Linked DNA regions of Diceros bicornis minor. The protein of the gene in region 1 purifies or fractionates together with the protein of each later gene. This does not show direct contact. Links are inferred from orthologs where the notes say so. Each region holds a gene or a part of one and is shown in the gene's direction. Other genes may lie near its edges.

Region 1 (7,917 bases):
CTAACATCGGTGCCCATCTTCCTCCACCTTATATGGGACGCCACCACAGCATGGCTTACCAAGCAGTACTTCGGTGCGCGCCCGGGATCCGAACCAGCGAACCCCGGGCCGCCGCAGCGGAGCGCGCGCACTCAACCGCTTGCGCCACCGGGCCGGCCCCTATATAACTTATTTTTTATAGCTGCATACTAGTTCTTAGAATGGATGCATTATTTATTCGACTAGTCTCCTAGTTTCGGAGATTCAGGCTGTTTCCATTTTTGTTACTACTTTAAACAACGCTGCAATAAACATTCTCGTACATCAAGCCTTCCTACTGGTGCTTTTGTTTCTGTAGATGGATTCTTGAAACCTGCCTGGTCCACGGGCAGGGAGGGGTGGTTTGATGGTGATAGACACCAATCCCTCCTCCTGTCCCTCCCCCTTGCCTTGACCCAGATCTGGGGCTCCTCCCCCAGGCCAGCCAAGTGTGTCCCCTCCTACCTGGCTAACTGGCCTCTCCTCTCAGTTGCCCTAAAGCCCAGCTCAGAGCAGGCCCCACCCCCTGTTTTGATCCACCCCTGTCTACCTTGTTGACCTTTCCAGCTGCCTTCTGTCATCCACCTAGCAAATACGTGCCAGGCCCAGGACACTGGGGGTAAAGTGGTGAGTAAGATAAAGTCCTGCCCTCGTGGCGCTTACATTTGGGGTGTGGAAGATGCTAAAATAAGTAAAACATATCGTATGTTAGATGGTGACAGTACAGGGATGGAGCAGTGTGTCTGAGCAGGATTTACAGTTTTAAATAGGGTAGCCAGGGAGGACCTCATGAAGAGGGTAACGTTTAAGAAAAGACCCAAAAGTGGTAAGAGCCAGCTGTGCAGATATTTTGGGGAAGAGCTTTCCGGGCAGAGGGAAAGGCTAGAGCAAAGGCCCTGAGGTGGGAATGTGCCTGGAGTGTCTGAGGAACAGCCAGAAGGCTAGGGGGCCAGGAAGATGGAGCAGAGTGGAAGTAGGGGTCAGAGGTCACGGGGGGCAAGAGGAGTACAGGGCCTTGCAGGCCTCCAGAAAGACTGGCTCTTACTTTGTAAGGTGGGAAGCCACCACAGGGTTTGAGCGGAGGAGTGGCATGACCCCTTTGGCTGCTGCTGAAAATACAGTGTTGAGGGCAGGGGCAGAGGCGTCAGAGGCGGGATATGGTCTGAAGGTCAAGCACACAGGACTGCTGATGATGTGGGTCTGGGAGAAAGAGAACGGAGTCAAGGAAGACTCTGGGGTGTCTGTCCTGAGGAACTAGAAGGATGGAGCTGCCATTATTTCCCACTCCCATCCCCTTCTCACCCCTCTACCTGGAGCCACACCACAGCTTTCTCTCTCTGTTGTGAGGAGATGCCATGCCTCCTAGAATGTCCCTCCTGCTCCGTCCACTCCCTATTTCTGGCTGTCCAGTGCCAAATGCTACCTCTTCCTTTGGCCCATTCTCAGCAAATAATTATGGCCCGAGGAATTCTGGAAGCTTAGGTGAAGGAGAGGAATTTGTGGCTTGCAACAGAATTTGAACCAGCCCTCAAAACAACAAGTAGGATTTGGTTAAGAGGAGAGAGGAAGAGAGGGGATTCTAGGAGAAGAAAGCAGACTCAACATAGTGCTCGGAGGCAATTTTTTTTTTTTGTGAGGAAGATCGGCCCTGAGCTAACATCTGCCAATCCTCCTCTTTTTTTGCTGAGGAAGACTGGCCCTGGGCTAACATCCATGCCCATCTTCCTCTACTTTATATGGGACGCTGCCACAGCATGGCTTGCCAAGTGGTGCATCGGTGCACGCCCGGGATCTGAACCGGCGAACCCCGGGCCGCCGCAGCGGAGTGCGCGCACCCAACCACTTGTGCCACCAGCCCGGCCCCTGGAGGCAATTTTTAAAAAAGAAAACTAAGGAGAATAAAACTGCCAGGTGAACCCGTAACTTGTGTTGGCCTAACCACTAATGTAATTAGTCCTTCAATAAATGTCGAGCACCTACGAGCTGGGGCTACCGTGGTAAACAAGGCCGACACAGTCCTCGGTCTCCTGCTATTTACTTTTAGTGGACTTTCTAGCACATTCTCTTTGTAGTCATGCTACAGGGGACACCAGATTATTAGTACATTACTGAGTGTGGAGATTGAGTTGTGTGATTCGGCTGTGTTGTGGCTCTGGCAGCCTGAGTTGTCCTTGTCCACAAGGAGAAAGGAGATCTGACTTCTGAACTGGCCTGATGGAGCCTCCCTCCCCCAGCCAGTGCTGGGCAGGCACTGCCAATATTTGCCTCTCTGACTTTCCCTTCCCTATGCTTCTTTGGTTGATCAGATGCTCTCCTGATAAGCACATTCCTTCCTGAGAGAAGGCAATAGCTTTCAGTAGATTCAAGTAAAACTTAGCAGGCTTGGACCTTCTGACATTCTCTCTGTTAAAGACAACTTTACAGGGCCAGCCCAGTGGCTTAGCGGTTAAGTGCGCGCGCTCCGCTTTGACTGCGCAGGGTTCGATTCCGGCCGCGCACCTACGCACCGCTTGTCAAGCCATGCTGTGGCGGCCACCCATATAAAGTGGAGGAAGATGGTCAGGGATGTTAGCCCAGGGCCAGTCTTCCTCGGCAAAAAGAGGAGGATTGGCAACAGAGGTTAGCTCAGGGCTGATCTTTCTCAAAAAAAAAAAAAAAAAATTATAAAAAAAAAGAGACAACTTTACAGATCTCTGTTCTGATCCACTAAATGTTGATTCAGTTAAATCTCAGAAAGCAAGGTTGTTTTCAAGATCGTAGAGGGCAGCTTGCTATTGTGCCCATGGAATTCCACTTTTTGTTTTCCTTAAAAATAAATAATACAACATGTGGTCAGAGGTGAGCTGTGGAAACGTTTTGCATATTTTTCCTAAGTTGGAATTCTGCCAATTACCTTGTTTCTGCTAGCTAAGCTATGAATGAATAAAATGATGAATAAGACACACACAGTCCTCTCCCCTGGAGGACTCACATGGTGTGTGTGTAGGAGGGAGGGACAGATTGCAGACTTGACAGTGTTGAGACTATGTGGCTGGGCAGGAAGTCTCTATTGGGCTGTGATCTCTTGAGAAGGTCGGCTAGAGCTGGACTGCAGGAGGCTTGCTGTGTCAGGACCCATGTCTGGGGAAGAGGCAAAGGTCCCACAAAGTCAATTCCCCAGGAGCAAGGGTCAGAAATACTATTCAATTTTTTTTTTTGGTCTTTTTAAATGACCTCTTTTTAAAGAGGTCCCCTGCCCCTTATGTAGAGGAGTATTAAAAATGTGGCCCAGAACCCCTCTGCCCAGGAAGCCTCTGTGGACTGCCTCTTACTTTTCATGGTGTCCATGATGTGGCGCTGTTGGAAGTTAGTCAGTCTGGATTCCTTCATCATCACTGCAAAATAAAGCATTCTATGAGGCCTCCTGGGCTGTAGGCAGATGCCCTCGTCTCCCTCTATTTAAAGTTAAAACTGTATCACCTCCTACCCCCATTCTGCACCTGGTTACTCCCACTCTCCCTTTCCTGCTTAATTTTTTTTCTGTAGCACTTATCACCATCTAAGTTATATATATTTTACGTATCATGTATTACCTTCCTAGTAGAATATTAGCTCCAGGAGAGCAAGAATTTTTGCTGTTTTTTTAAAAAAATTTTTTACTGCTGTATCCTCAGCACCTAGAACAATGCCTAAAGCACACAATGGCCTTTTAAAAATTTTTTCTTGAGTGAATGAATGAATGAACAAGTATTCATTAAGCATATGCCAGCGGCTGGAGCTACAATTGGGAGCCAAAACAGGCACAATCCCTGCCCTGATGGATTTCACGAGCTAGAGGGTTAGAAGGATATTAATCTAATGGACACACTAAATATCTGATCACAGGCTGCACTAAGCCCAATGAAGGAAAAGGTATTTGGTAGTATGAGGGCACATAACAGTGGGTTCCACTGTGGTGGTGGTGGATAGGGAGGAAATAAGGCTTCCCTGGGGAACCTGAAAGTGTGATCTAAGGGATGCATAGGAGTTAACTCTAAAATTCTTAGTTCTTTGACTTTTGGCCACTTGCAAGTTGTAGGATCTCTGAACCTTTCTGAACCCCAGGCTTCTTATCTGTAAAACTAAAATAGCAATCGCTAAGCCATACATAGGTCATGTAGGGGAGAAGTGAGTTACACAGGGTAACTGTTACCACTGCTCTTCTTGTGTCCTTCAGCGCACTGACCTCTGAGCAGCTCACAGGTCCTCCGGGAGTAAGTGGCCGGCTTGGGGCAGCGCCAGAAGCCTGTTCCTTTGGTCACTGCCTCCACCCTCTCCTGGGAAGCCATGGGAGGACCTTGAGGAGGGAAAACGCAATGACACATCCATGTCTCCCAGGTCCAATCTTTGCTCCCGCATCCCCCAACACCATCCCAAGTCTGGGAGCGGGGTTCGGGCCGCAAGAGACTCCTGACGCCGCCCGTCAATACTGTGACAGTGCCCGATTCTCCTACCCCGAACAGATACACAAGCAGATGCACACACACGGGAACCGAGACCTTAGCTGAACCCGGCGCCTGTGGCAGGGAAGTCCCCTTAGGAGGAAGGGGGCATTAGGATAGCGGTGGTTACGACAGAGCCCATTGGGTGATACGCCAAAACTGAAACCTCACCCTAAAGTAAGACCCCGGCGGGGTGCCCCTGTCCCCACAGAGAGCGGCGCGGGCTCCAGAGACCGTAACCACTGCTCCACCGCGGCACCCTCACCGGGGCCCCGCAAAAATACTTGGAGATCTCTGGCACCAGAGCCGGCAGCTAGACGCTCTGGCTACCATGGTAACGAGCACGCGTCTCTGGGCGCATGCGCACATATATCGCTCCGGCTTGCCTCCCGGAAGTGATTGCCTCTGGGTCACGGCGCAGGCGCAGAGTAACGCGTGGCGCCGCTGGAGGAGAAGGCGCGTTGTGGACAGGTCGCTGCGTGGGTCAGAGGTGCGGACCCGCGTCGCCGCGGCGCGGGCGTCATGTCAGACAACGAGGACAAGTGAGTGCGGGAGCGAAGTGGCCTTTGCGGTGTCTCGGAAGGGGCGGCTGAGGCGGGGGCCTGGGTCAGAGGAGGCCGAGGAGCCAGGTCGAGGGGCAGTGTCTGAGGGGCTAGGGGTGCTGAGGGCCCGCGGAGCTGGAGAAGGGAAGGGCGGTGAACCGGGAGCATAGACCGGGCCAGAGGCTGGGCACAGAAAGCCCCAGGCTCGACGACCAGAAAGGATCAGTGAGAAGGGTGTCTTTCAGCAGACTTCCACTGACCCCGCCTCTGTGTCTTGTAATGGGAGTATTGAGGTGAATTAGGCGTAGCCCCTGCTCTCCAGGTGCTTCTTTTCTAGAAGAGGGGACAGGCCCGTAAACAGATAATACGGGGTCGCGTGAGATTACGTAGTAGATGTAGTATAGAGGTAATCCAGAGGAGGGTCAGGCCAGGCCTGGAGATGGTAGAGGTCTGGGAGGTGTGAAGTATCCACGTGGGAGAAGGTGGCGGCTTGTACTAGGAGTCGTGAGAAGTGGTTTTGAATTCTGGGTTTATTTTGAAGCTAGAGCCAAAAAGATTTCCTGACATGGGGGGTTGGAGGAGATAAAAATAGGGCAATCATCAGCCTAAGTATATTAATCAGAAGGAAGAAACAGGTGAGCTCATCAGGGGAGAGTCAGTAGAGAAGAGGAGATGACTGACCGTCAGAGCATTCCAACATGGAGTGCTGGTGGGGGAAAGAGGAGAAACCAGCAACGGAGGCTGAGAAGGAGCAGCCAGGGAGGTTGGGGAACACCAAGAGAGTGAGGTGTCCTTGCAGTCACATGAGGAGAGTGTACTGAGCGAGAGGGAGTGACCTAGTGTGCCAACTGACAGATCACGCCAAATGAGAACAAGAATAGGCCATTGGGTGTAGCCACGTGGAAATCATTAACGAGCTTGAAAGGAGTGGTTTTGACGGAGCTGGGGAGGTGCAAGTCTTCTTGGAGTGAGATTATGACAGAATGGGAAGAAAAGAATTGGAAACAGTGGAGGTGGATGACTCTTTCATGAATTTTGCTCTCAAGGAGAGCGTGGAAATAGGGCTCCGTGGGGAGGGAATAGAGAAATGAGTTTTGTTTATTAAGATGGGGAGATAACTACATGTTTATATGCTGATGGGAATGATCCAGTAGAGAGAGAAACAGTGATGATGAGTGAGTCCTAGCAAAATTTAGGGGCTGATGAGGAAAGGTTGAAGGAGTAAATGGAACAGAAGTTTGATTCACTCATTAAGTAGATGTTTATTGAGTGCCTCTAACATGTGGGGTGAGACACAGATCCCTGTCCTCTTGGATTCTAGTAAGTGATGCTTCAACTAACTGGCCTCTTCTTCTCGTACAGTTTTGATGGTGACGACTTTGATGATGTGGAGGAGGATGAAGGGCTAGATGACTTGGAGAAGGCCGAGGAGGTCAGTATTTAGCTGTGGGCTCCTGTGTCTGCAGCCCAAGCTGCCAGATAGCCCAGCGGTGATAATTGCCTGAATGCATCTCCCTCCTGTTCATGGTCAGGGCCCCTGCCACAAGCCCCCCCCGGTTAGAGCAGAGTTCCAGTCCTGGGTAGTGGAGAAGCCCTGCAGGTGGTCCTGAAGGCTTCTGTCCACTTGGACCACAGCCCATGGCTTCTGGGGCAATTAGTTCTCTGAGGGGTGAGCAAGTCAGTGAACACTTGTTGAATGTTTATTAGGTGCCGGGTGCTCTGCAGGGTGGGGCTACATAAGGAGCAAGGAGGAGAGTGACCTGGGATAAAGCTGGACAGGTTAGGGCCCAGATCAGGCAGGCTATTGTAGCCTAAGGGTAGCGGGAAGCCACTGACCAGTTTTGAGTCGGGGAGTGGCATGATCCAGTTTACACTTTAGAAAGAGCATTCTGGCCTCAGAATGAGGAGTGAATTGGGGAGGAGCAAGAGTAAAAGAGAGAGACCAGTTAGGGGACTTGCATAGATCTCCAGGTGAGAGACCTGTAGCTTGGACTTGGATGCTGGTAGTGTCAGTGATGAGAAAACATGAAAGAGAGATTTTGGTGGATTGGGTGTGGGGCTGAGAAAGTGGGAGATGGCAAAGATGATTCCAAGCCTTCTGGCTTGATCATTTAGGTGGATGGGTTACCAGCTTCATGAATAAAATAGGGCTTTCTGTCCTGTGTGACTGATGGAGGAAGAGGTGCTTTGTGTCTCCTGGAGAGAGAGTGATCCCTCGATTTTTTTAGTCTAGGAAGCTGAAGCTGTCTTTTTGGATTTCCTCTGTCTGCATGGCACTCTCGGGTCCCTATTCACTGAGTCAGAAACCTCCTTCTTCATCCCTCTGGTCCCTTCCATGCCTGTCCTGTTGATTCTGCCTCCTACATGTGGTTCAGCCCTGTTCCGTTTCTCCATTCCTAGTGCCGCAGTCCGGTTTAGATCTTCATTGCTCTACACCCACGTGACTGCAGAAATTGTGTTACTGGTTTTCCTGCCTTCAGTCTGCTGCGTTTGCCTTCCTGCTGCCAGAGTCATCTTTCTTACCTGCCTACCTGATCGATTACTATTGGTCTCCCTAAATGGTCTCTCTGCCTCCACCCTTGCCCCCTACAGGATATTCTCAACAGAGTATTGAGGATGATCCTTTTAAATCTTAAGTCAAACTGTGTCTCTCCTTTGCTTAGAACCCTCATCCAGTGGCTCCCCGTCTCATTCAGAGTAAATGCCAAAAAGACGTACAAGATCCTCCATGATCTGGCTGCCTGCTTCCTCTGTGACCTTACCCTTTCTAGCTTTCCCTGTCATGTCAGGCAGACCCCTGCTCAGGACCTTTGATCATGCTGTTCCCTCTTCCAGGCACACTTTTCCCTTAGATATGCACAGGACCTGCCCCTCACCTCCTTCAGGTCTTTGTCCAA
Region 2 (7,646 bases), on another chromosome or scaffold:
TAAAAGTTCTCATCACAAGAAAAAAAAATCTCTAACTATGTGAGGTGGTGGATGTTAACCAGACTTGTAGTGACCATTTCACAATATACACATATATCAAAACATTATCTCGTACACTTGAAACTTATATGTCAATTATATCTCAATTTTTTTTTAAAAATGTCAAAAAAGGATATATAATTAAAACTCTCCCTCCCATCCCTGGTATCTGCTGGCCAAAGGCAATCAATGGTATTTTGAGTATACTTTCAAAAATATTTTACATCCATACAAGTAGATATGTACATATTCTTATTTCCCCCTCTCTTTTAACAGAAATGGGGGCATGCCATTCCCTGTTCCAAAGAATTCTTTTTTCACTGAACAATATTATCTTGATAGTGTTCTATGTTGGTATATAAAGAGTGTCCTCATTCTTTGTTACGACTGCATTGTATTCTCTCCTTATACATATGAACCACAATTTAACCAATCCCCTGCAGATGGACATTTAGGCTATTTTCTTTTTCTTTTTCCTTTTCTTTATTTTGCCATTACAAGCACTGTAACAAATAACTTTGTAAAAAATTCTTTTTATGTACATAAAATATATAAAACTAGTGCTGTTGAGTCAAAAGATTTCTGCATTTGTAATTTTGGTTAATATTGACAAACTTCCTTCCATGAACGTTGAAACAATTTACACTGCTACCAGCAATGCGTGAAAGTGCCTGTTTACCCATACGGTGTGCTATCAATTTTTCTTTTATTTTTGCCGATATCCTCAGTAAAAAACAAAAAAACAGGGGTCGGCCCAGTGGCGCAAGCGGTTAAGTGCGCGCGCTCCGCTGCGGCGGCCCGGGGTTCGCTGGTTCGGATCCCGGGCGCACACCGACACACTGCTTGGCAAGCCATGCTGTGGCGGCGTCCCATATAAAGTGGAGGAAGATGGGCACAGATGTTAGCCCAGGGCCGTCTTCCTCAGCAAAAAAGAGGAGGATTGGCGGATGTTAGCACAGGGCTGATCTCCTCACACACACACACACAAAAAAACAATGTCTTGTAGTTTTAACTCATATTTCTTGCATTTTGAGTAAGAGTCATTCAATCACTCAACAAATATTTACTGAATACCTATTATGTGCCAGACATTGTTCTAGGCACTGGGAATATTCCAGTGACCAAAGTCCCTGCTCTCACGTAGCCTCCGTTTTAGGAAGAACACACAAACAGTATACAAACAAATAAGTATATACATTCTGTCAAGTGGTGATTGAATGCAATGGAGTAAATAAAGTGGGAGAGAAGGTCTGCTCAGGAAGCACGTACAGGGGTGGGTAGAAGCACATTCTCATATGTTTAAAAAACATTCATATTTCCTCTCCTATAAAATGGCCTTTCACATCCTTTGCCATTTTTCTATTGGGTTATTACTCTTTTTGTTATTGAATTGTAGAACCTCTTTATTTACTAAACAATTTAAATATTAGAGAATTTGGATACCATATCATTTATATCATCATTTGTCAATAATCACCCAATTTCTTCTAAGAGTTATGGCCACATTTATTAAAATTAGTATTTTGGCTTGAAAATTTTTAAAAATATTAGCTTTTAAGATAAAGGGAAATATAGCATAACGTAACATATTCTTAGTTGGAACTCTCAGTCTAGGAAGTACAGACACCACCATAAATATAGATAAATAGTTTTTACACATATCAGTTATTGAAATATTTAATTGGAATCTCAAAGGTTTTTAAACAAGTATTTGTTCATATGTTTTATCTATAAAACTTTCCCTTCTCCTTATGTTAATTATATGTTTTTTTTGGGCCGGCCCCATGGCTTAGCGGTTAAGTGCACACACTCCGCTGCCGGCGGCCCGGGTTCGGATCCCGGGCGCGCACCGACGCACCGCTTCTCCGGCCGTGCTGAGGCCACGTCCCACATACAGCAACTAGAAGGATGTGCAACTATGACGTACAACTATCTACTGGGGCTTCAGGGAAAAAAAAATAAATAAATAAAATTTAAAAAAAAATTATATGTTTTTGTATACATACGTATGTAGATATATATATATATGAATGTGTATACATATATATATATTCCAGCATTACCAGGAAATACAGTCACTGCTTTATTTCTGTAATAATAGTTAAGATTTGTTTTGGCATTACTATGTGCCAGACCCTGTGCATCTCACATAAAATATCAACTCATTCAATCCTTACAATGGTTCTAAATGGTAGATATTATTATTACTGTCTAACAATGAGGAAACTGAGACTCAGAAAGGCTAAGTATTGAAGGTCACTAGAAGTTCTCAAAGCCAGGATTCAATCTCAACCTGTCTGACTGGAAAGCCTTTGTTTCTAAGTCAAATTTACTATCCCAGCAAAATAAGAAGAATCCTGGGAAAGTTTGGGGAAGCACGGGGACATCTTACCTTGGCTAACGTGAGTCAAGGCACTGCTGCAACTATATACCTATACAAATGAAACACTGGTCAAAGCTAACCTCTGTAATCTAAATACACACCATTCTATCAACCACCAGGTACAACACTGTTTCAAGTTTTGGAAGTTTTACAAACTTCCTAAGGTCCTGACCATAGAAAGCACGCAAAGAGGTAAATCAACAACCAGATGAACATAAAGAGTACAGTAAAATTATTTTAAAGGATTTCAAGTACATTTGATTCTTACCCGATTTCATTTCCAAAAGTGTATTGTTATCAATTTCATGGTTGGCTTTTCCAGGCTGAGGCACTCGCAGTGGTATGATCTGAGGGACACACACTGAACCAGCAGTCATTTTCCCTCCTTACATTAAAAAAAAGTGGATGAAAATAAATTCCAATGGGCACCTATATTTGAACACAAAAGCTGAAGAGAAGCACCTCATTTAAATACAGTAAAACTAGCAAAAACTAAAAAGAATACTGTTAATACACCACCTACAAATATTATTCAATTTTTAATTGAAATAATTGTTTCAGGTCTTGTGTGGGGTTTTGATTCTCTAAATACTTGCCTCACTTCTGGGAAAAGAGTACGAATAAACGGGATGGGGAAACGGAATTATCTTAAATGGGAAATTAAATGAATGTGTCAGAACAGAGACCATCACTAACGATGTGATCTGAGCTCCCTCTGGATCATTATCACCCTTTCCTGCCTCTTATTAGTGTGCCACCTCTCTTGGCTTCAGGGCAAGTCATCACACAAGAGGAACAGAAGTAACTCTGTATGTAGCATTAAACGTTAATTTAGAGCCAACTCCTTTGGGAAAGCTCCAAGTTCAAGGCCCTGCAGCTGTGGCCAAGTGGTTCTTGCATTTCAAAGCTGCAAAGAAACTCTAGAGGGATGGCCGAGTATTATGCCTCAGCTGACAGCAAGTTGGCGTCGATATAAACAGTGAGCAACAAACACAAAAGTCTCTCACTCCATTTTTGTATTTATAAATAATTAAGTACGGGTATGGAGGCCTTATTGATCTTTCTCCTGGGGATAGGGGGCGGGGGGGGGGGGGGGTGAGGTCATAATTTTTAATACATAAAGGATTCAGGGGGAAAAAAGCGACCCTCACCTTAATACAGCAACCATTTACATCTCTGTATGGCCTTTTCAAATTTCAATGATTATGGATGTGTAGGTTTTACTCAGTTGTACTCTAAATATTCATTCAACTTTTCTTAGTGTACTTCTTGCACCTCACTCTATCATTTATAATTTTCCACGTATTTACTTATCAATTTGTGGTTGGGGACTTAGGCTATTACTAGTTTCTTTTTAGTTTTGGCTGTTGCAATTCTAAATAATGCTGCTCTGAACATCTTGGGATTTGAACTTTGTCACAGACTGTATTCCCAAAAGTAGGATAACTAAATTTAAGGAGTGAACTTAATGCCTGGTTGAATAGTTTCAGACAGGAGGCCAAGAATTTCAACTGCAGATACTGATAGTAGAGTAATAGCTCCTACAGAACGGGGGCTGGGCTCAAGGGGTGCCCTTCCTCATTCTTCCATTTAAGTGAGAGGCAGTTAAAATAAAAATAGTTGAAAAATTAGTTCAAACTAAAAATAGTTGAGGAATAAATAATTCGCGCGGCCACTAGGAGCTGCCCTTCGGAGGCTTCTGCGGTCAGTGGCCCCAAGCGACGGGGATCAAGAAGTAGGCGGATCGGCTACGCCCAAACGACAGAGTGGGATCAACAGCACCGCCCACGTCTCAACTCCCTCCATCCAGACTACCCCTCACCGCCGGGATCCGGAACCCCGTGTCGTTCCCGTCCCCGCCCACCAGGGGCAGCTAGGGACGCCCGTTCCCTTTCGGCTGGACTAAAGGAGGCCCTCCTCCTCTTCCTCCGCCGGCCACCAGAACCCGGATAGGGACCCCCGGGGTACCTCCGGCGCCCGCAGGTAGGGAACGCACCTCTCACCGCCTCTGGCCTTTTCCTGCATCGCAGTCCGGGTTACCACAGACGCTGCGAGCCGCGCCCCGCCCACTGCGGGGCAGGTGATTGGTGGAAACCCGCTTCCTAGCAACCAGCTCCGCCCCTGCCGCTTGGCCAGGGCTCCTTTCCTAAGGCTTCACCGTAGGCATCCGGGAATATGCCTTCACAGAGGCTGGAGAGTGCTTAGAGGTGGAGTCCCAACTCAGAATGGGAAAGCCATGCTCGTTCATCTGAAAAGCACTGACATTGTGGAAAACAAGAAAAAGATGTTAGCGGCGCGGGCAAGGGAGGCGAAGCAGGCGCGGCTTGGCCACCTCAAGCCGACAGACAAGGAAGGACCGGCTGCGACACGAGGAAGAAGGCCCGTTGCCCGGGCCGGGTGCTGTCTTCGCTGGTTCCCGGGTTCTCCCGCTGGCTCTCCGACCGCTCCCTGCCTCTCCTCCCCCAGGGACCGGGAACTGCGCCCTCATGGCTGAGGTGAAGGTGAAGGTGCAGCCGCCCGACGCGGATCCGGTGGAAATAGAAAACAGGTAAACCACTGAGTGAGGCTCGGTTCCCGGCTCGGGAGCCCCCGCAGCCGGACCCATTCTCTTGGGAGCCTGGGTAGATACCAGAGCAAGTTCCGTGAGCGCGCAGGAGAGGGAGTGCGGGATTTGCCGCCCACCTCCACCCTCAGAGAGCAGAACTCTTAAGAAGTTCGAAACGGATTTGACGGTTTGCAACCTTGTGTAGCTGACCTTGCCCCGAGGCTGTTCGAAAAGTTGTGGTGATGCACTTCCTTCCTACATTAAGGTGATGGACGCTCAGAGAGGACTTGGCGTTTTTTCTGTAGTACCTGTGGATACGTGTTCTGATCCAGGATCGGTCTTGTAGCTAAGGGAACTCCCACGACAGAACGTTTGAGCAAAGTTAGGGTGCAGTTTGCGATTACGAAGCATCATAAGCCAAATGGTTTCGATGCAGTATTTAAGTCAAGATTTTAGGGCACCTAAAGGCTCTCCCAATTTTATATGCTCTATCCGTGTACTGCAATTTTTACGTTACTACATAGTTTTAGAAGACCCCAACTTTCTCAAACTGTTAGGAATAAGACATATGATGATCTTATGACAAGGTGAAGATTCGGGCTTATTTTTGTTTGGTAGGGATAATTCCGAAAACAGGCCCCAACTGTGATGAATTGTCGTAACAAATCTTGGGCTTCCCATCAGAAGTGTCTGATTCGCCTCCTGCTTACAGACTTACGGTTATCCAAGGCACTGTGTCTTAACTTTGTCATACTTGCTCCTTCTGAGAAAATTGAAGCCTCGGTTTTAATATTTTTTTCTGTTTTCATTTGACTTTGTTCTAATTTGAAGTTCCTATGGGTGAGGAAAAGAAATAGTTTCCTTAAATAACAATAATAATGTAAATGTGTATTTTGAAAGCATCTTCCTCAATTTCTAATATGCTTTGATTCAGAACCATCATAGAAACCCAGATTATCTGCCAAATGTGAAGAAAAGGCACAATTTCAAACTGTTTTGCTTGTATTTTTCTCCCACTGCCTCTTGAAATAGGTGAAAACATGAATAATATCATTAATGCCTTTGTTCTTAGAATTATAGAATTATGTCAGCAGTTCCCTCACGGAATCACAGACCAAGTAATTCAGAATGAAATGCCTCACATAGAAGCCCAGCAACGGGCAGTGGCCATCAATAGACTGTTGTCCATGGTAAGGTGAATCCAACTAGTTCACGTAATTATTTATATGTTATGATTGTCATTACTTCTATTATATAGTCATGAAACCATTCAAAAGTGTGTTAGGTTGTGACTTTGATAAGACTGCAAACTGGGAAACAGCTCAGATTGCCTAAACTGAGGAAAGAAGAAATAATTACACATCGTTTTACAAGATGAATGAAATAAATGTATTTTGCTTTAACTGATGTATTTATTAATCTGTCATTAAGAAACATAAGGACACATAAGCATAGTCTGTTCTTACCTTGTTTGCTTCCTACTGCTAGTGTTGGGCCATTCCCCATGAAATATTACCCTCCTGATTTTTCTGACAGTCATCACAGAGCCAGTTCATTAGGATATTACTCTCCACATTCTCACTCTGAGCATTTCAGGAGGCAAGAATGAGTCTGGTTGAATGTCAACAGTGCTGGGCCTCTGGGAGGAGGTGGGCTCAGCTCCCAGTGACACTGCATTGGGGTTTTTCAGTGACGCCCTCTACCTGCTCTTACCTCTTCTGCTCTCCTGGGGCCCTAATGTCATTCTCCTTCAACTGTCCAAACACATACCACCTATTGGTACTCCGTGCGCTAGATCTACCTATTTCTCTTTCCTTTCCCTCATCATCAAAATCCCCACATTCTGAGAGCATTTCAGTCTGGTTGTAGTAGCGATTAGGTAAAGGACCAAGGACTCATCTGAAGACTGATTTGCTTTTTAAGCTTTGTTGGATTTCTAAGGGCTCTGATATGGAGATTTGAGGACAGGTGAACCTTCTGTTAAACCACTCCCTTTAAGCTTCTAGCACAGAGGTTGGCAAACTTTTTCTATAAAGTGCCAGATAGTACATTTTTTCGGGTTTACCGACCATATGGTTTCTGTCACAACTACTCAACTTGGCAAGAAGTAGCTGTGGACCACACGTAAACACATGGGCATGGCTGTTTTCCAGTAAAACCTGATTTACAAAAACACAGGGGGCTAGGTTGCCGACCTGTGTTTTAGCCCAAGGGAAAAAGGAATGTTGGTGATTTCTAGTCAGTTCACTGTGGTGAAGGTCTTCAGCTCCAGGAAGGGTAGAGGGAGGGATACTGGAAGGATGTAGCAATGGAAGATGTTTTTTGTCTTCGGACCGCCCTTTCAGCCCTTTCCTTTCTGTCAAAATGATCCTCGGCACCTCCCTCTTTCACCACCTCTGCAGCCCCGCCTTCTGCCAGTCCTGTTGGCTGTAGGAAGTGGTGGAGCTGTTGAAGAATTTTAAGCAAGAAGTAATTGTTAATAAATCACAAAGTGTTGCTGATTTTAGCTCTTAAACAATTGTCAAATTTGTCCCCACCCCCCCATTTCGATTCCTGTTGCCCTTGCATGTATTCAGACTCTTGGCTTTTACCTGGCCTATTACAGTGCATCCTAACTGACTTTCCTGGCTCCGTCTGCCTCAGAGCAGCCATCCTGTCTTAAATACAGATCTGAGCAAG
Region 3 (7,493 bases), on another chromosome or scaffold:
TCTTGGATATCTTGAATTCAATCATTTCTGTTATCCTCTCATGATATTAATAACAGTCCTCCCCTCTCAAGTTGCTTGATGCTGTTTGTTTTTGTATTTGATCTCATGTTAGAGGATTTTCCCCGATTTTTATGCTTGATTGCCTGTTTAAGAGTGGGGGATGAAAAGGCTGCTTGAAGCTCGTGCATGCGACCTAGTGACCTAGGCTTCACTGTAGAGAGATCAAGCCAAGGATTACTCAAGGATCAGCATCTTAGTCTTTCCTCTGGGGCTAGGCAGATTTCCCAGATAAGATTCTTCCAATTTCCTACCAATTTCCTACTAAAGGCCTGGCTCTCATCCTTCTGGGAAACTAGTAGGCATACATATATATATTATTCCTCCTATTTTCCATACTGAACCCCTGAGCTCAATAGTACTTAGCATCCCTCAAACAAGAAACCCCTCTGTTTTACTCTCCCCAGAGAACAAACTAACTGGGTGGGCATTCACTTAGGAAGAAGGGTTCTGGCGTTTTAACAGCGTCTTAAATGGCTTTCAATCAACTCTACTTATTTTAGTATTCTTTCCTTTGCCCCTAAGGTACCAGCTACTGCCAATTCCTGAGCCTGCAGGAAGGTCCCTGCAATGCAAACTGGACTGGCTCTTGATTTCCCATTGCTGGCATAGGGTAAAACTGCTAACTCAGTCATCACATTTACTCTCCAGCATCTGAAACAGTTCCTCAGTCAATGTGGATTTATACTTAAAACAGAGACAAACCACGGTCCCTGTACAGCACTCTTAGCGGGGTTTTGGGCAGGAGTCAAATTAGATGTGTCTGTTCAATGTGCTACCTTTCTGGAATCTCCTTTTTGTTTTTAACCTTCTCCAATTATTCAAGTCGATCTGAAAAAACTGCTCTAATATCTTTGTGACTCTGGGCAAATTGTTTAAACATGTATAATAAGGGCCAAAATGCCTGCACTTTATATCACTTGAGTGTTGTGAAAAATAGGCAAAATGATGTGTGCCTGTTCAAGAAGAATGTGCTAGATCACGCTATGGTTTATTGCTGTCTTCTTATAGGAAGATACTACTTCACCATTAGTAGGGTGAGTTGTTTTTCCATCAAGGATGATGCACTAGATGATGCTCTCTCCCTGTCTTCTTTGTCCCTCATTTACAAATCAGCTTTTAGGTTAGTGATACAGTGCATAGATTTATGCTTCTCCATGACAGGTGATCATCAATTCACTAAATGAAATGCAATATAAACTAATGACTTCAGCCTCCTTATGTTCTAACCAAAGCAATGAAGACTTTATGTTGTTTGGGTATGCGCTGCTCATGTGTGTGTAACTGTGTATGAATTCTTAATACAAATATTTTTTATCTCTTTCCAGGCATCTGAATTATGAGAATAACAAGTTAGCAGGCCACACCATTGAGAAGAGACAGGAAATTAATATTCCTGAGAAAATAGGAAATTAGATACAACTTGACAGGTGAGGCATCTAGCTCCTAATGAAAAACAACTTTTGATTTAACACAGTACTATCACCTTCAAAGTGTTTGGTAAATATTAAGCTTTCTTTTCACACCTTCAAAGGCTTAAAGCACCACACAGGGAGCTAGCAGGCCCCTTGCAGCAACAAAATGCTGTAATTCTACCAACAACTGGGATTTAGGAAACCTGGGTTCTAGTCCCAGCTCTTTCCCAAACTGGCTACGTGCCCTCAGATATGATATTCGGGCCTGCCTGGACTCTTCATCTACAAAATAATAATTCCTATCATTCTTTCACCATTGATTTCCTATTGCCACCAGCGCAGCAAAAGTAAATAAATCAAAAGTAATTTATTCGTTTAGAAAATTTAAATATATTTTAAATACTAATGTAAACATTTTTTGGTCTGGGTGCCAGAATTAATTTAGTCTGAATACCCATCAACTGCATGGAAATCCTATCTCTAAAAGTATCAATTTTATCAACAAATACAGTAATTTTTACCTCAAATTATCAGGTAATGTAAGACTCCCATCTAAACTCATTTTTTTCCTAATCTTTAGATTTAAAATTTTAATGAAAAGACTTTTTGGGTGGGGTGTGAAGTACAGAATCTTGCTTTGTATTTTTATATCTCAAGTGATCAAGATCTCATCTGTAAGATAAACTGATTTTTGTAAAATATTTCATAATTTGTCATATTGGTTGGTCATAAAGTGAGCCTTATTGTACCGCAGCAACTGGATTTTTCTACCTTTTAGAGGAACGTTTTAATAAATTAAAGTGGCAATTAAAATGGTTTCAAGATAGAAAGGAAAGAAGGGGGTTTCGCATCCTACTCAGAATTACCATAATATATTTATGGGGTAGGATTTATGGGGTATGATCTGCATACTTTGATCTATTGTGCCTTGGTTCAAACCCTAGCTTTTGTCACTATCTTGCTCTGTGGACTCTAGGCAAGCGATTTAATTGGGGGTCAGCCACGTCACTTCAAATGTGTTGTGAGGATAAAATGAAATCAACAAAAGTATTCTAAAAAGAAAAAAAGGAAATTAATACACATATATTGCTGCTGTGGCTAATCAGCTCAATTATTTAAGCACCTATTTGGGGTTGGGAAGGTTGGGGGAGTTGGGGCCTTACTCTATTTTATTTTATTCCAATAACTTCTCTCTGATCCCCATCCTGTCTTTCACAGAGCCAAAGAGGCCCATGCTTTAGTCCACATACTTCACCCATCACCGGAAATAACCTCCTTATTAATCTTTCTCAGGCCTTGCTTTCAACCAGACCAGGTATCTCATCATGTTAAGACTCAGCCATATTCTACTTTTCATGTTCACTATCAAGCTTGCTCTCTCGTGAGGCAACGTCAAGCACAGAAACCTATCTGGAAGATAAGGATGCACGAGCAGATTGGAACCACTGCTCTCTAAAGGCTTTCTAAGCCTACAGGTGGGAATTGCTCCTTCCCGGCGGTGACCGCTGACCAAGGCGGATGAAGTCAGCAGTTCTCAAAAGCACAGAGCATGACAAGCACTCTCCGGGAGGCGTCATTCCTTAAAAGTCTGCTCGCTAGAAAACCGCCTGGAAACGTCAGACAAGTGTTCGGGAAAAGAATGGGAAATCCCTAGTCACAAGTCTCTGTAGTGTTACTACTGTACCTTACACAAGAAACTGACCAGGGGGTGGGGCCGGCTTTCATTCGAGCACGCGGCATTGCTACACTGTGCCAGAGCTGGTCTCTGGAAGGGAAGGCTGCGATAGCCTTGGCTCCCGTGGAGGGGGCTTTTACGCAGGAAAGGGAGAAAAAGAAGTGGTGTTCCTGCGAGGTGACAAAACAAGCCCCTTACAGCCACGCACGTCTGCAGCATGCATCCCTCGGCCAGTTTCGCCCCAATCCCCTCCACTAATGTGAGAGCGCGCGCCCGTGAGGGCCCATTACCATCCTGCAGGATGAGGGTGGGCTGCACCGCCTGTACTCGGAACTGCCTGGCCCTCCAGCCGGGGCTGGGCGCCCGCACCACCTCACTGTCGGACAGCCAGGTCACGGTCTCAAAGTTGTCCCCGCGAGCCAGCGCCTCGGCCTCGGCGTGGTGCACCGCCACCCGGTCGAACTGGTAGAGGCCGCCGGAGTGGTCGAAGTGCACGTGGGTGGCCACAGCCAGCAGCGGCCGGCACGCCGCGTCCTCCTTGGCCCCGCGGTCCTGCAAGAGGCCGGAGGAGTACAGGTACTCGGGGAGGCTGCGCAGCCCCAGGCCCGTGTCGATCACCACGTCCTGCTCGGAGCCGCGCACCAGCCAGATGTTGGCGCGGTTGCCCGACTCATAGAAGCGTTCCTGAATCCAGAAGATGCCGTCGCCCAGAGACTTGTGGGCGTACCACTCGAGCGCCGACATGCTGGGCAGGGGTGCAGCCGGGCGGAGTGGGTGTGGGCGTGTGTGCCCCTCGCAGGCTGTCCAGACCCGAGGCGCTGCGGCGGTGTGGAGCGGTCTGCCCGCAGCCTGGGAGGAGGCGCGGAGCCAGGAGGGGGCGGGGGATGCGGGAGGGGCGAGGGAGAACCAGGAGGAGGAAGGACGCGCGCAGACGCTGCCCGGAGCGGCCACCGCACCCTCCCGCCTGGTCTGCAGAAAACAGAGGTGCTCAGCCCGCCCCGGGCGCTGGAGCAATCGCAGCCTCTGGAGCCGCAGCAGGAGGGAGCGTTCACGCAGGGGCCACTGCAGCAGACTGGAGACACAGAAGGCGACACGGTCCCCACCTCGGGGGCCTGACTGCAGAGGCCAGGAACGAGGCGTGGGAGGCTGCAGGCCCGCCCACCAACCACGCGCCGCGATGCGCACTTTCAGCCGGCGCGGAAAGAGTCTGGTCCAGCCGGTTGGAAGACTACGGTGCCTGCCGAGGGCTAAAAAGCTCTTGGCCCAGCGGGCGGGGCCTCGCTGGGGGGTGGGCGGGGCTAACTAGTCGGGATGCGAACGCGGCTCTGAGGCCGCGTGGAGGGCGGAGCACGCTTCTCCAGAGGTGGAACCAGCAGCACCCGAGAGCCGGCGTCCTCGGTCCGCACCCGTTCTTTGCCGGCCGGCGCTTCGGCTGTGCAGTGTTGCCCAAGCCTCGAGACTTAGTGAGCAGGTAACAGAGCAAGCGATTGAGGGCCTGGGAGGAGATGGAGAGGGTAGAGGGTAATTAAAGAGGCACATGGAGAAGGTGGGGGAAGTCGGGGATGAAGATTCATTAAAGCGCTTCTGGATTGAGAGGCGTTGGGACATAGCTTTACCTCCCCTTTTCCTAGTCCCTTCAAAATCTTTTAAAGTCGTCGTTTCCAGATCTTACCTAGTCTCCACTTCTTGGGACTGTTTGCAGTGAGTGAGAAGGGCATTTGTGCTCTTACCGATGGTAGATTTTCAAATCCGATGACTAGGGTTGGTTCAGGCACGAGTCATTGCCGCAGACTTGCAGCTAAGGACAGACTATTCAGTATGTTTTCTTAACTGTTGGCACTTTACCCTGTATCGTGGGAGAGGGGTTGTTAATAAGGATTTTCTTCTCTTCTACATAATGAAATTCTGTATTTCTCCCCCCATCCTCCATTTTTTCGGTTACTTTGTCCGCTCTTGGAAGAGAGCAAAGAAAGTTGGTAGAAAGGCTCAACTAAGGAAAGGTGGAGGCAGCCGCACCTTGTGAGGACAGGAAAAGTGGATACTGACTGGGTGTGCCCCCCCCCCCCCCGCGACATAAATCACCCCCACTATTAACACCATGTCCCTGTCCCCGCCCCACCCCACCCTTCCCAGCTATTGAAACATCTATTTAGGTGTCAAAAATTCCCTTGAAGACTTAACTAACCTCCCTACTCAGCCAGGAAAAATTATAAAACACCCATGAGACAGCATTATAGAAGATAATTAGGAAAACCTTTACTGTGGCAGCTGCTAGAAAGCCTTCCTAGAAAGAGAAGTGTACTCTCCCCCCACCCCCAAAGCCTTCGGTAGGGATGCAGCGGTTCTGAATAGTTTCCTCGTCTAGTTAGAAGTTATCCAGTCACTGTTCAGGGCTATCGTTATGTGCAAGTCCCTGAGCTAGGTGATCTGTGAAGAACAGAATTGTGCCCAAAAAAAGTCATGATCTGGGTTCTCAAGAATTAAGGGAAGATAATATCTGTACACAGATATTTGCAATATAAAGCAATATGGGATCTGTACCGCAGAGGAAGTCAAAACTAGGTGCTATAAAAATACAGAGGGCAGGGATTGTTGGGGTGTGGCATTTGAGCTGTCCTCAGGACGTTCTCAGGGAAGCACAGAGCTCACTGTAGTTTGGGTATCTTTCGTCTAGGCAAAGGGGATCCACTGGAGGTGAAATGGAGTGATATCGTCAGTAGGCCATGAGCTCAGCAATAATTCATCGGGTATTCACTGGACTTTTGCCAAGCTCTGCTGAGTGATGGGGCAGGAAAAGGGGAGTAAGTCTTCAAGGAGGCCTCACACTTACAAATCCCTCTGCTTGGATCAGACTTTCCCCTGGATATCTTCCTAGTCCTTGGCATGGCTCTTTCTTTCACTTTTGTCAGGTTTGTGCTCAAATACTACAGAATACGGGAGGACTTCTTCAACCATCCTTTCCATAATAGCATCCATGTTTCCTGTTTTTTCTTTATATCACTGATCACTACCTGACACTTTCTATAAAATATATTTATATTTTCCATTTCCCATACTAGACTATGAGCTCCATGAGAGCAGAGACTTGTTTTGTTCACTGCTATATTCCCAATGTGTGAAAGATGGTCTGACACAGAGGATGCTTCATAAATACTTGATGAGTGGATAATTGAGGAGCTTACTGGGCAGACAGACAAGAACTGACAATTACAACATGATTTTAAAAAGGGTAATAAAAGCAATGTAGTACTAGGGAAACAACGAGAAGGGAGAGGCCTACCTCCATGTAAGCTGGAGGAAATGGTCACAGACAAGTGTCATTTGCATAGTATCTTAAATAATGCTGGGGATGCTCAGGTGGAAGGCACCCCAGGCAGAAGTAACGCTATAGGCATGAGCTGGTGTAGCAGACTTGAGAGTGGCTAGAGTGTGGGATACATGGGGCGAGAGGCAGAAAGTTAGACTTGAAAGCTCTGCCAGTTAAGGAGAGTGGCACATCAAGGTTTGTGTTCTAGAAAGATGACCGGAGAGTGGCTTGAAAGGGGGAGTCTGGCCGTGGGAAATTTATTTGTTCTGTATTAGAATTCTAGGCGAGAGATGGTGAAGGCCTGAACTGAAGCAGAGGTGAAGGAAGGTGAACATGTGAGAGAGGACACAGAGCTGATAGTCTTCTGCTGTTAGATGAGGGGATTGAGGGAGATGGAGAGGAGGTCAGCATGACTACCAGGTTCTTATTGGGGCAACTTAGGTGTCATTCATTAGGAAAGATACTGTGACCTGGCTTTCAGTGCGTCCTCTAGTTTCCTTGCCTGCTTACGTCTGTTTGTACATTTATTCACCTAGCTAATATGTGCAAAAGACTGTGTGAGATGTGGAGAAAAATACATTTAAGCACAATCATAATTCATAAAAGGTTAGAACTAGGAGAAGTTTCAGAGGTTAGCTCAGCCTTTGCCACGGGGTTGTTTTTATAGTTGATTAGAATGGGCTTTTGCATTTCAGCTCATGGATGGTTGAACTACACTCATCAAGCCATCTCAAAACAATTCTGAATAGGAATTTTCAGGAGGCATCCCAAAATGGAAAGATGATGCTTCTGATTTTACATTTTTAAAACCAGTCAATTTTGCCATTACTAATTCACTTCACTGTAAAGATTAAACACATCCACGGGATTAAAAAACTATTCAACTAGCCTAGAAATGTATTTCAGGCAGCGTAATGGAGAAAGGACAATGGAGAAAGATATCCTGAGGCTTTACCCCAGTCCACTCGTTGTTAGCAATTAACTGCGTGTCTTCAGGTAGTCAGCTAACCTCTTAGGGCCTCACTTTCCTCTTCTATAA
Region 4 (6,987 bases), on another chromosome or scaffold:
CAGCCTGGGTCCATGGGTTCGGATCCCAGGCACAGACCTACACCACTCATCAGCCATGCTGAGGTGGCGACCCACATACAAAATAGAGGAAGATTGGCACAGATGTTAGCTCAGGGCTAATCTTCCTCAAGCAAAAAGAGGAAGATTGGAAAAGGATGTTAGTTCAGCACGAATCTTCCTCACCAGAAAAAAAAAAAAAAAAAGCATATTAATAGTAAATCTTAATTGTGTCACCTGGCAAGAAAATTAGGTTGCAGTCAGTTTTTGGTTTTTTTTCTTGTTGTTGCCGAGGAAGATCTGCCCTGAGCTAACATCCATGCCAATCTTCCTCTATTTTTTAGTACGTGGGCCGCCAGCACAGCATGGCCGCTAATAGAGTGGTGTAGGTCTGCACCCAGGAACCGAACCCGGGCAACCAAAGTGGAGCACGCTGAACTTAACCACTTCGCTGCCGGGGCTGGACCAAGGTTGCAGTCAGTTTTAAACACTGTCTTATCAATTTTTGAACCTTTGAATTTAGCAGACCACACGTTACAAAGGTAATTCTCAAGCTATTAAGACTAAGCTTCACTATCCTTAAATCTATCACAATCATCTAATCTCTAATAATCATGCACAAATTTACATCTTAATCTCCTATTTCCCTACTGGGCTCCAAACATTACTTTTTAACTGCCTGCTGCATCTTAAACTCAATATTTCCAAAATACACTTATTTGTCCTCCTTCAGGAAACTTGCTCTTCTTCTTAGGTTGCCTTTTTCTGTTCGGTACACAATATATTATCCTCTCAGAGGCTAGAAACCCAGTCATCTTTGATGCCTCACTCTGTCTCACCCCACAATCAACCAGTTCCCTCTGTTCTACTCTAAAACTTCCCTGCGAGTGCTACACGGACGAGAGGCAGAGCAGAGTGGTTACGAGCTTTGAAACCAGCCTTCGTAGGTCTGAATCCTGGATGTCACATAAAAGCTGAGTTACTTTTGGGCAAGTCACATATCTTTCAGTGACTGTTTCCTTATCTACAAAATGAATTTAATAGTAGTACCTATCTTATGGGATTCTGGAAAGGCTAAATGACCTAACAGATGTAAAGCACTTAAGACAGCATCTGGCACATAGTAAATACACAATAAATATTAGCTATTATTAATTTTATTATTATTAGCTAAAAGTAAGGTACTCTCAAAGGTTATCCTCTGAGAACACAATTGGGAAAAATTAAGGAGTTAAAGAAAACATTAAATTTACTTTATTTTGGGCTACAAAGGTACCATAAACACATATCAAAAACAAATGTATTAAATAAAATGTTCTATTTTTTCAAAAATTTTTTTAATTTTTAAAATCTTTTTTAAATAAAAAAGAGATAAGCTCTTTGAACTATTGACTAAAAGATTCTACAACAATATGTGATTCAAAAGTTTTAGGAACCTCCCAAATACAATCAAGGAGCCCTAGATATAATCACAGGCCAGCATGACCAGATTGTGGTATCAACAAAAAAAACTCCTGTATAAATAAATAATACTATAAATGAAGAAAGAGTATGTTCCTGGAAAGAAGATGATCTTCCCTTGTATAAGGAGGGGAGTCCAAAGACACAAAATTTGGCAGTATTGCCAACACTGTGTCCTAGCTGTTCCTGATCCCAAAAAGATCCTTTCCCATTGTGGAGAATGACTTCTCAGACAATCATAGCTGGACGATAATGGCTAGTAAGGTCATCCAGCTCTCCCCATATTCTGATTCTAGGCACCTAAGACTTAATATTTGGTTTTCTATATTCATCTGGCTGGAGGAAGAGAATGTGCTGATCACCAAAAATGAGTATCTAGCCTGCCTGATAATTATATTTCTCAATGTAAATTAATGATTCAAATGCCACTTTTGATCCCCAAACCAGAAGTAATCCCTCTTCTTCTAAAGCACTTTACTTATATTTCAACTATAGCACTTACTCTGGAGAGGCTAAATGAGTTAACAGACGTAAAGCATCTGTTTGTTCTGCCTCCTTCTTGCTAGCTGTTTACATGTTCATCTCTTCCACCAGAGTGCAAGCACCTGAAAGCATATGAATAGTCCTAATTCCTTTTTTGTTTCCCACAGTTTCCTACTGTGGAAATTTAAGTTGATTCTTAAATGTTTGATGAAAAAAATGAATGGATGAATAATAGTATCATGCGGCTATTCTCTCCTAGTAAAGACTGAAAAGTACACACAAAGATTGTACTTACCTTATTCTTTTCACTTTGAATAATTTCTAATAGCTGGTCTATGTGCCCTTCATCTAAGCATCTTTGGCCTGCTAACTGAAATAGGCCAAAATCTTCTTCTTTAAAGTCTTGCTCATCTAGGATTTGCTAACAAAAACAAAATAAACAAAAATCAAACATGTTGAGGTAAATACAAATCCAATAACTACCTGATTTATTTAACTCTCTGAAAAAAGGAAATCTGTTTAAATTCTAGATAAGTTGCACACAAGCATATGTATGAAAATTAGAATTAGCCTAATAAATATTTTAATGAATGATCTTGAAATCCATTGTACCAAAAAAATCTATGGTAAGGATCAGCATCAAAAATTTAAAAGGTTATTTAGACAAGTATGTCACTTAGAGAAATAATCCAATCTGCCTTCCTGCCCTCATGCTATTTTTTCACAGGTCAAAAGAAGCAAGGATTAAAGAAGATTAACGATTTGAGTGATTGCAAATGTTAATAAAAATAATCTGTACCCTTCCCATATTTTGAAAGGTATTTTAACTTTACAAAAAGAAAAAATTACTTACACATCTCTTTATTATAGATTGAAGTTCCTCCACAGCCATTCCTGTTTTTCCTAGTTTGAGGCTGAAATGTACTAATATAAAACACACTGTTAACTATAAGTGATATTACACTGAAGTATTAATAAGTTATGTTTCATTCTTATGAATTATTAGTAAATACAATAAAGAAAATGGAAACTTGTAAAGCTGAAATGCTTTTACTGCAAGTTAGTGTTAACCCAAGAAAATAAAAATGTATTTTAAAAAAAATTCCTGTTGCATCTTTTAACTTTTCTAGAGCATAGTTTTGAAAGATAGACTTAAAAAAAAATCCTCTAGACACTCTCAAGAAGCAACACAAATATGCACTATATAAATGACTTTAAAAAGGAAAAGTATTTCTTTTCCGAAAAAATCTCCGAAAGGTGGGCCTGAAATCAGTAGGGAATTTTTTATGTTTTAATGTCCCGCCAGTGCAACAAAACTCACCCAGAGAGGGTGCAAGTTCAGACGCCCTCCACCCCAAGCGTGACCGAGACATTTCTCTATAAGAGATGCACTCCCCAAAATAATCAATCCAGTCAGTGAAATCACTATATCGCACGCAGACGAGGCAACCGGCGGCCCTCAGGACAACACCGTTCCGTTGCCACCGGTCATCGTTTCTCCCAGCAGGAAGGCCGAGCCCCAGGCCCACAGTGGGGTCGCGGGTCGGCGGGGTCCTCACGGCTGCGCGCTCCAGGGCGGATGAAACCCCAGCGCGCGTGCGGGCGGCATCCAAGGGAAGCCATTTCTCCCGATTCCTGCTCGCCTTGACGTTCGGGCCCCACCACCTCGCAGGGCCTAGTTGGTCCGCGGCCCCGAGTCCTGCGCGGCTGACGGCCCCCGGCAAGCCCCGAGCCCCCAGCACTCCCGGAGCGCCCACTTACCGGCCACCCCTCCCGCCCCTCTCAGCCGCCTCCTCCACCTCCGGGGGCCGCGCAGGGCGCTCTCCGGGCCCCGCCCCGCGCTGCGCGAGGGAGGCGGAGCCTCGGGAGAAGACGCCGAGGCGGGGCCCGACCCTGTGAGGACGCGTCCCATGGCTGAGCCGGCCAGGCTGCCCTCGGCCCGCCCCAAGGCCCGGGGTCCCCGCGCCTCCCGAAACGCCGCAGGTAGGAAGAAGGGCCTCTTCCCACGTTTGGACCCTGAGAACTGAGCCCCGACAGAGTTCCAGACCAGGCGCGCGGGGCGCTCCCGAAAGGCTGCCCCGGGGGAGGTAGTCTTCGGGGCAGAGAAGGCCGAGAGCTTCTCACCGCCGTCCTCGCGCGTTCTGGGGAAGACCTCCGGCCGCCTCCACCTCTTTCCACTAGTATTCCACGATTTTCCCCAGAAGGGCTGTGCTCCAGTCTCTGAGGGAAAGGGCAGTAGAGATCCTGGGAGCCTGGAGTCGCCAGAGTGAGCAAGTGACCATGGCAGCGTCAGCGGGCAGTGCGCAGCTGGCCTTGAACCTAGCACTGGTCCTCCTTCCAGATGTCCTGCTGATCTGGTGCTCCGGTTCTCTGAGGTGTCATACTCCTCCCTTTCCCTGGGAGCGAACATTTGGGGGATGGAGAGAGGTTGCCCGTAAAAGGAGCCAGATCTCAGATTTGCAGGAGTGCCTAACTATGCAACTGTGTTTCAAGACAAAATTCAATCCCGAAAGAGGTACATTTTAACCAAAAATTCGGGAATAACTAATTAATTTACAAAAACAAATTGGATCCCTTCCCATTTCATTTGATTTACACACAGGATTGGAAATGAAATGTGTGGAAAAGAAGAAAAAATGGTCTGCAGTATATTTGGGCAGGAATCTGTCCTGTAACCTAGTGTGTTTGTGTATACTTGACCTACTGATTTTGGGGTTTTTTTAATCGTAGGTACTAAACAGACAAGTGCCTTGCAACAAGAGGATGCCTCCAAAAGGTATGAGAACTACTTGGACAACTGCATTCTCTTATCTGTTTATCTTATATTATTTGAACCATTTTTAAAAACAATAATGGGTGCTACCCTTGAGAAAATTCTTATGAGAGAGAAGGGGAATATCTGGGAAGCACTATAGTTCTCACACAGACTGTTACATCCCCGTACTCCGTGCTTTAAGAAAACCAAATCAGACACTTGTAGATCACTGGTGAAGGTATGAGTGTCTGTAGAAAGGTGTCTATGGGAATAAACAGTCCTGAATTAACCAGGTACTCCTTTTCCACCTCTCCAGATACTTTCTACTTTTCTTTGTATGCCAGAGACGCCAAGAAACCTTTTCTGTTGTTTGTTTACATCATGTCCATATTTTCAGCAAAAAGTTGTCCTGTGCTGTCTCTTGGCTTCTCCTAAAAAGGCAAGATTTATATCCTGTCACAAAGGGTTTCTGGAATAGGAATAGTCTATGAGGATGATTAAGTAATATATATCTATGATTTCTCATTTTGTGAAGTATTGGCTTTGACCTTAATTTACTCATTCTTTCAAAAATTATTTACTGAGTCTAAGATAGACTAGACCTGTGTTAGGCCCTGAGGATATGGTTTTGTGTGTGTGTGTGTGTGTGTGTGTGTGAGGAAGATCAGCCCTGAGCTAACATCCATGCTAATCCTCCTCTTTTTGCTGAGGAAGACCGGCTCTGAGCTAACATCTATTGCCAATCCTCCTCCTTTTTTTTTCCCCAAAGCCCCAGTAGATAGCTGTACGTCATAGTTGCACGTGCTTCTAGTTGCTGTATGTGGGACGAGGCCTCAGCATGGCCGGAGAAGCGGTGTGTTGGTGCGTGCCTGGGATCTGAACCTGGGCCGCCAGCAGCAGAGCGTGCGCACTTAACCGCTAAGCCACAGGGCCGGCCCCGAGGATATGGTTTTGAACAGAATAAACACAGTCCTGTCTAGTGGAACAGAAAAATACCTATTAAATTATCACCAATAAATACATAATTATAAATTGTGATAAATGCTATAAAGGAAAAGACTCTGATGTGATGAGGAGGAACTAATAATAAGAGTCCAGTTTAGTTGGAGTTTGACAGAGAGGATGGCAAGTTTTCAGGGAAAGGCTTCTCTGAGAAAGTAATAATTAAGCTGAGACCTGAAGGCTAAGTAGGCATTAACCAGACAGAGAATAGTGAGGAGAGACCTCCAGCCAGAGGTGGCAGTATATGTGACAAGAAAAAGCTTGGACGTTTAAAGAAAGGAGAGATGCCCAGGGTAGTGTGCAGTGTTCTGAGCAAGGGAAGAAAGCATAGGAAAAGGTTAGAGAGGCAGGGTTCCGTTCTTACAGTACCTGGTAGGCCATGGTGAGAAACTTAGATTTTCTAAGTGCAAATGGGAAAACTTTAAGTAATAAAGCGTTAGAATTTAAAAAGTTTTAGGATGTTAGGGATGATGATCATCTGGAAGTGGAGAAATTGGGTACATTTGAGATCTGCATTTGGAGAGGATTTCCCTGTGGAGCAGCATGATTATCCTGACTTGGTTTTAGGAAGTATTGCAAGAGTAAAGTTTAGTTAATATTCATAATGACTGTAATTTGCAGCTCTCGTCAACACTGATCTGACCACAAACCTAAATAGATTATATTTTATTCTGAGCACTACAATGCCAGGAACATAGATAAGCTAAAATGTATTTTGAGCAGATCCTCCAGGATGATGAAACAATTAAAATCCCTGGAGGTAACCAAATAGTTGTTGAGGGGAGTTATCCTTTATAAATTTAGTCCAACTGAAAAATACTTCTACATTCAATCCAAGTGAATACTATTAAGCTAGAAATTAAAGAACTTTGCAAAAATATAAAACAATTCTACTCTTCACACTAAATTTTTTATTTAAAAGATATATTAACATGTAATGGGTATATTATTATTAAATGAATGAATAAATGCTTTAAAATTTTCTCACTTTCAATCTTAATATGGTAAATATCAACAGATACAATCTACATAAGCAAAAGCTCTATAAAGGAGCGCTGAGACAAAAAAGTTTGAGAACCGCTGCTGTGCACCACACTCCCTGTCATCATTTGGGCCAGAGGGCAGCAGTGAGACAGGGCTGTTCAGGGGAAGCAGCTGTAGGTATCCATCAGTTAAGAGGAGTGTGGTGGTTACTACAGGCTGAGATAGTTAACAGCTTAAGTCAGCAATTCCTAATGCAAATTGTGTACGGATCTTAGTACATTACGTAGCTTTTGTTGGTAGGCAGC

The links.
Region 2: the proteins of POLR2F (region 1) and POLR3F purify together in Homo sapiens (affinity purification with mass spectrometry; 4 studies listed by BioGRID and IntAct, with this or other methods). This does not show direct contact. The link is inferred for Diceros bicornis minor from reciprocal best matches to the Homo sapiens genes POLR2F and POLR3F.
Region 3: the proteins of POLR2F (region 1) and POLR3G purify together in Homo sapiens (affinity purification with mass spectrometry; 3 studies listed by BioGRID and IntAct, with this or other methods). This does not show direct contact. The link is inferred for Diceros bicornis minor from reciprocal best matches to the Homo sapiens genes POLR2F and POLR3G.
Region 4: the proteins of POLR2F (region 1) and RPAP2 purify together in Homo sapiens (affinity purification with mass spectrometry; 4 studies listed by BioGRID and IntAct, with this or other methods). This does not show direct contact. The link is inferred for Diceros bicornis minor from reciprocal best matches to the Homo sapiens genes POLR2F and RPAP2.

The regions. Positions count from the first base shown.
Region 1 is NC_080764.1:11,849,042-11,856,958, reverse strand, and holds the start of POLR2F (DNA-directed RNA polymerases I, II, and III subunit RPABC2), read left to right. Parts: upstream 1-4,912; 5' UTR 4,913-5,000; coding exon 5,001-5,020; intron 5,021-6,382; coding exon 6,383-6,452; intron 6,453-7,917. Other genes in the region: C25H22orf23 (UPF0193 protein EVG1), read right to left, coding at 3,330-3,392, 4,223-4,361. UniProt on the Homo sapiens protein: DNA-dependent RNA polymerase catalyzes the transcription of DNA into RNA using the four ribonucleoside triphosphates as substrates.
Region 2 is NC_080758.1:45,143,452-45,151,097, forward strand, and holds the start of POLR3F (DNA-directed RNA polymerase III subunit RPC6), read left to right. Parts: upstream 1-4,632; 5' UTR 4,633-4,908; coding exon 4,909-4,970; intron 4,971-6,039; coding exon 6,040-6,157; intron 6,158-7,646. Other genes in the region: DZANK1 (double zinc ribbon and ankyrin repeat-containing protein 1), read right to left, coding at 2,691-2,799. UniProt on the Homo sapiens protein: DNA-dependent RNA polymerase catalyzes the transcription of DNA into RNA using the four ribonucleoside triphosphates as substrates.
Region 3 is NC_080740.1:16,947,973-16,955,465, forward strand, and holds the start of POLR3G (DNA-directed RNA polymerase III subunit RPC7), read left to right. Parts: upstream 1-4,479; 5' UTR 4,480-4,618; intron 4,619-7,493. Other genes in the region: acyl-coenzyme A thioesterase MBLAC2, read right to left, coding at 3,438-3,891. UniProt on the Homo sapiens protein: DNA-dependent RNA polymerase catalyzes the transcription of DNA into RNA using the four ribonucleoside triphosphates as substrates.
Region 4 is NC_080743.1:28,575,307-28,582,293, forward strand, and holds the start of RPAP2 (putative RNA polymerase II subunit B1 CTD phosphatase RPAP2), read left to right. Parts: upstream 1-3,973; 5' UTR 3,974-4,221; coding exon 4,222-4,456; intron 4,457-4,671; coding exon 4,672-4,717; intron 4,718-6,987. Other genes in the region: GLMN (glomulin), read right to left, coding at 2,237-2,362, 2,795-2,865, 3,263-3,314.